Saccharomyces cerevisiae S288C: one gene and its partner. The gene in region 1 interacts genetically with each later gene. Each region holds a gene or a part of one and is shown in the gene's direction. Other genes may lie near its edges.

Region 1 (3,265 bases):
TGGCTTAAACCAGCACTATGTATATTTTGGTGTTTGATACCGATATCGGCAGCTCGAAGCGTTTTTATGAACTGTAAAAATATGTCCTACATAGTTGTTTGGTAATTTTTTGGTTTTTTAAGATTGTTTTATGAATAGGTGTTTTACCAGAAGGCTATCGCCAGGTAACTCTTTTAACTAAATCGAAAAGATTTATTTGACGTGTCATATTGTAAAAACTAAATGGAAGACAGAAACTAACTTTGTCGACACCTATTTTAAACAAGTATCAAACGCGGGCTATAATTTTTATGAGAGCAATCAATGCAATGGAGTCTATTTCCGGTTAAATGGCACGATTGTGCGTAAAAACACGAGAAAGTGGAAGCATCTTTTTCTTAATGACGGATAATTACCCGAAACAGTGCAACTGCAAGTGCATACTCTTGAAGGACTTACATATTGAGAGGGAACACATTACTACCTTTCAAGAACACTCGCATTTACGGCGTACATATGGTTCCGCGGTAGACCCTAGGTTGAATTGAAAACCATGTTTTGAAGGAAAGCAAAGGCAGAATGAGAACATGGAGATGTAAATATTTTCCCAGTTAGGCATGACCCAAAATCGCAATCCAGATGCAATTTATTATGACACGTAGACCTTTCCGTATCTAACGTAATAAACGATATCTATTTTCGAGGCGCTCGACATCTCGTATCTGGGACAGAAAGTGAGGTAGATTATTCAAGAATACCTATTAAGAAAGGTAGAAGGTATTGCACCGATTCCTAGTATCAATTCTTTTCAAAACCACTTATTTTGCAAAACATGCGTCTAACCTGCCATTTCAGCAACGTAAATAATAATTACTTCCATATATATTCTTCTCCCCCAGTAGCAATTTTGACATGACAAATTTCAGCGATAGTTGCTTCGGCATTCGAAAATCGTAGAAGTATGTCTTAATGTAGAAGGTTGAGAACAACCGGATCTTGCGGTCATTTTTCTTTTCGAGGAAAGTGCAAGTCTGCCACTTTCCAGAAGGCATAGCCTTGCCCTTTTGTTGATATTTCTCCCCACCGTAATTGTTGCATTCGCGATCTTTTCAACAATACATTTTATCATCAAGCCCGCAAATCCTCTGGAGTTTGTCCTCTCGTTCACTGTTGGGAAAAACAATACGCCTAATTCGTGATTAAGATTCTTCAAACCATTTCCTGCGGAGTTTTTACTGTGTGTTGAACGGTTCACAGCGTAAAAAAAAGTTACTATAGGCACGGTATTTTAATTTCAATTGTTTAGAAAGTGCCTTCACACCATTAGCCCCTGGGATTACCGTCATAGGCACTTTCTGCTGAGCTCCTGCGAGATTTCTGCGCTGAAAGAGTAAAAGAAATCTTTCACAGCGGCTCCGCGGGCCCTTCTACTTTTAAACGAGTCGCAGGAACAGAAGCCAAATTTCAAAGAACGCTACGCTTTCGCCTTTTCTGGTTCTCCCACCAATAACGCTCCAGCTTGAACAAAGCATAAGACTGCAACCAAAGCGCTGACGGACGATCCGAAGATAAAGCTTGCTTTGCCCATTGTTCTCGTTTCGAAAGGCTATATAAGGACACGGATTTTCCTTTTTTTTTCCACCTATTGTCTTTCTTTGTTAAGCTTTTATTCTCCGGGTTTTCTTTTTTTGAGCATATCAAAAGCTTTCTTTTCGCAAATCAAACATAGCAAACCGAACTCTTCGAACACAATTAAATACACATAAAGATGCCTGCCCCTCAAGATCCAAGGAATCTTCCAATTAGACAACAAATGGAAGCTCTTATCCGTCGCAAACAAGCTGAAATCACGCAAGGTTTGGAATCCATCGATACTGTTAAGTTCCACGCTGATACTTGGACCCGTGGTAACGATGGTGGTGGTGGTACCTCTATGGTTATCCAAGACGGTACAACTTTCGAAAAAGGTGGTGTTAATGTCTCCGTTGTTTATGGTCAATTGAGCCCAGCGGCCGTTTCAGCCATGAAAGCTGATCATAAGAATCTGCGTCTACCAGAAGATCCAAAGACTGGTTTGCCAGTTACCGACGGTGTCAAGTTCTTCGCTTGTGGTTTAAGTATGGTCATTCATCCCGTTAACCCACACGCTCCAACCACGCACTTAAACTACCGTTACTTCGAAACTTGGAACCAAGATGGGACCCCACAAACTTGGTGGTTTGGTGGTGGTGCTGATTTGACACCTTCTTACTTATACGAAGAAGACGGTCAATTATTCCACCAACTGCACAAGGATGCCTTGGACAAGCACGACACTGCTTTGTACCCACGTTTCAAGAAATGGTGTGATGAGTACTTCTACATTACCCACCGTAAGGAAACACGTGGTATTGGTGGTATATTCTTTGACGATTATGATGAACGTGACCCACAAGAAATATTGAAGATGGTTGAAGACTGTTTCGATGCTTTCTTGCCATCCTACTTGACTATCGTCAAGAGAAGAAAAGATATGCCATATACAAAGGAAGAACAACAATGGCAGGCCATTAGACGTGGTAGATACGTTGAATTCAACTTAATCTACGATAGAGGTACCCAATTCGGTTTGAGAACCCCAGGCTCTAGAGTTGAGTCAATTTTGATGAGTTTGCCTGAACATGCTTCATGGTTATACAACCACCACCCTGCTCCTGGTTCCAGAGAAGCTAAATTACTAGAAGTTACCACCAAACCAAGAGAGTGGGTTAAATAATTCAAGGTTCTTTAGCAGACCGATTTTATGATCTCAATGACAATGATGATTTAATTATTTCGACCACTTATTTATACATTTTTTTATCTATTTATTATACCTCCTTTACATAATTCTTCAAATTCAATTGATACAGGATCTCTATTCTTAAAAATATTAATTATTGCGTCCTATTTATGATGCAAGTTCACAGTACGTGCAGGATCAAAAATTATATCAGTATCTATTGCTCTAAAAATATGGCAGCAGCCTTCATTCTCAATATGCGATCATGCCTTCTAATCAAATTTTAAGATGTTTTTATTACTCTTTTTATTCTTAGAAAATTCATCTTATATTCAAGGACTTCTTAATTTTCCTTCCATCTATGACCACAGTTTACACACTTATAAAAGGTAGTCATCGGCTCATCAGCTGACCTAATTTGTAGTTGGAAAAAGTAAGCACTCTCACCACCACAAGTATCATAATTGGGACATTGGGTTTTGGTTTGATCCACATTGTCCCAACCACCACCAAGAACATCATCAA
Region 2 (3,054 bases), 450 kb from region 1:
GTTACTGATAGAGGTTGAGTAGCTGCCTTCATCGGTTTGGGGTGGGATAATCTTGTCAATGTATGGTTCAGTCTTTTCAACCACCTTGTTGTAATTTTTGTGAAACCTATGAATAACTAGATCCTTCATCCTGTCGATAGCACGGTCAATTCTAGCCTGCTTTCTATCGTAGATTAAAGGCACAGTGTACAAAAAGATGGTGGTCATTATCAAAACAGTGTTCATAGAGAATATAGCAAATAGGCCGTGCAAGAAATAGAGGGAAACACCAATGGTAAAATTGTTTCTTGTTCTGTGTGCAAACACTAACTTTCTGATTCTGTCCTCTAACGCAGGCAGACGATCCAATTCGCGGTCGATATGAGGCTTTAAGACGCCAACAAGGTCCGGAGACTCTTGCATGCCAAACCTAGACACTACTCCTTTATCAAATAGCACCTTTGTAGAAAGCTCCACCGCAAAACTCGTGAACAACACCATGTATCCGATCTTAAGTAAAACAGAAATAACATTGACATTTCTGAGGATCAGCAAACTCACCAGAGTCGCAGCAAAGCTCGCACCCGACTTGCTAGGGTTAGTCCAGTATATCAATCCCGTCTTGTTCTGATGACCTGCTTCACCGGGAGCGTTAGCATTTCTACTGTTATTCAAATTCGCGTTCTTATTGGTAGTCGTATTCCTATTCATGTTGATGATAGTTTGTGGCAAGTTGAGACAAGCAATTGAACAAGTTATTACTACTATTGCTACATAATTGATCTGCTTTTCAATCCCTTTTATATATTTTTTTCATCAAAGTAGCAAGCTTTATCGTTTGAGGGTGGAAATAAGGGTGAACAATAAGGGGAGATTGCCTATGCGCCTAAACGTCACCGTCTAACCTTGTTCTCCTTTCAACAAAAACGCCTTGCGTTCTTATTGCTAGGCCACAATTACAAGCATCTCAAATGGGGCATTATCACACCGGTACCACCGACACATTCTGCTGCTACCCTTGTAGTTTAAGTTAACTTTGCGTCCACTTTTCGTAATTATTTTGCTCCCTGGCAGCACCGGGGGTAAAGATGTCTTTCTGGCTAATGCAGTCATCCTTACATTGTCGTTCGTACGGCAGTCCAGGATTTTTGACCATCTTTACGCAGCAATTCCCATATAACATTCCTTCTCTCCTTGTCAATTGACCCTGGGGAGCGTCTGACCAATAAGAAACCGATGAGTAAGCAATGAAGGTCTTTTTTTTGGCTACGAAAATTTCAGCAATTTTTTAAAGTGAAAAAGTAAAAAAATCAAACATAAAAAAAGAAAGAAAATGAAAAAGTAAAGGAACGCTTTATATAAACGAGGCTACTAACTATCTGTATTATTGCTACACATAGCCTGAATTCAAGGTCATTGGCAGATTGACGCTCGTGTTTGCATGGTACAGGGCTGTATTAGATTTTGAATATTCTGTTCTTCTCATCCCGTATTAATATCTAGAACAATAGAAAAAAAGAAAAGCGAAGAAAATCTAGATAAATTTGTAGTTGGTAAATACACACGTACTATGGGCCCTGAAACTCTACATATTGGTGGGAGAAAATCGAAATTGGCGGTAATACAATCCAACCATGTTTTAAAACTGATCGAAGAAAAGTATCCGGACTACGACTGCAAGGTTTTCACTTTGCAAACTCTTGGTGACCAGATTCAATTCAAACCTTTGTACTCATTTGGCGGTAAAGCTTTATGGACAAAGGAGTTGGAAGACCATCTTTACCATGACGATCCCTCAAAGAAGCTTGACTTGATCGTTCATTCTCTGAAGGACATGCCCACTTTACTACCAGAGGGTTTCGAGCTGGGGGGTATCACTAAGCGGGTCGATCCAACAGATTGTCTTGTCATGCCCTTTTACTCTGCTTATAAGTCTCTGGATGACCTTCCAGACGGGGGGATTGTGGGAACCTCATCCGTGAGAAGATCTGCTCAGCTAAAAAGAAAATACCCACATTTGAAATTTGAAAGTGTCAGAGGAAATATACAAACTAGATTACAAAAACTAGACGACCCAAAATCTCCGTACCAATGCATCATCTTGGCGTCTGCTGGGTTGATGCGTATGGGGTTGGAAAACAGAATTACGCAGCGATTCCATTCGGATACAATGTACCATGCAGTTGGACAAGGCGCCCTGGGTATAGAAATTAGAAAGGGTGACACCAAGATGATGAAGATTCTTGACGAAATTTGCGATCTAAATGCAACTATATGTTGCCTTTCGGAGCGTGCTTTGATGAGAACTTTAGAGGGGGGTTGTTCCGTTCCTATTGGTGTGGAATCTAAATACAATGAAGAGACTAAAAAATTACTATTAAAGGCCATTGTAGTTGACGTTGAAGGCACAGAAGCAGTAGAAGACGAAATTGAAATGCTAATAGAAAATGTTAAAGAAGATTCCATGGCGTGTGGTAAGATACTAGCTGAAAGAATGATTGCCGATGGCGCAAAGAAAATTCTGGATGAAATTAATTTAGACAGAATCAAATGAACACCATTAATTTGATCAGTCCAAAAACTCTATTATTACTAACTAAAGTTCCCTTTTTTTTTTTTTTTTTTTTTTTTTTCCTTATCTCCTTTATCTTTCAGTTATTTATTTCCCTCTCATTCCTCTCATATTACTTGTTTAATTTAATGACCATTTTCAAATGACCACTGCATAAATATTTTGTCAATTAGAATATGTAATTCCTACCTTTGTTTATTTTATACTATTCATACAAGCTTCGTTGTTAATATATTTATTATAGCTTGTATATAAAAAATGAAATCTTGATTTATTAAATTACACTTGGTGAACTTCTAAAAAAACACTAATACATGTGACAACTATATACAACGTAAGAAGTGCAATACTAATCTTCTTGTCAATTTTCCAGTCGTTTAATGGTATCAAAACCGTAAATATCAAAAACGCGATCAGAATTCCGACTCCAGTATTGATTAAGTTTTTATCCACTTTAAAATCAATATGATGCATTAAAATATTACTATCTCTGCCACTCACTA

The links. A genetic interaction does not mean that the proteins touch.
Region 2: of HEM13 (region 1) and HEM3, changing one enhances a phenotype caused by changing the other (phenotypic enhancement), as found in Saccharomyces cerevisiae (one study listed by BioGRID).

The regions. Positions count from the first base shown.
Region 1 is NC_001136.10:544,895-548,159, forward strand, and holds HEM13 (coproporphyrinogen oxidase), read left to right. Parts: upstream 1-1,747; coding exon 1,748-2,734; downstream 2,735-3,265. Other genes in the region: DNA-directed RNA polymerase III core subunit RPC11, read right to left, coding at 3,084-3,265.
Region 2 is NC_001136.10:92,241-95,294, reverse strand, and holds HEM3 (hydroxymethylbilane synthase), read left to right. Parts: upstream 1-1,549; coding exon 1,550-2,533; downstream 2,534-3,054. Other genes in the region: RTN2 (Rtn2p), read right to left, coding at 1-690; YDL204W-A (uncharacterized protein), read right to left, coding at 1,010-1,162; YCX1 (Ycx1p), read right to left, coding at 2,831-3,054. UniProt on the Saccharomyces cerevisiae protein: Catalyzes the tetrapolymerization of the monopyrrole porphobilinogen (PBG) into the hydroxymethylbilane pre-uroporphyrinogen in several discrete steps.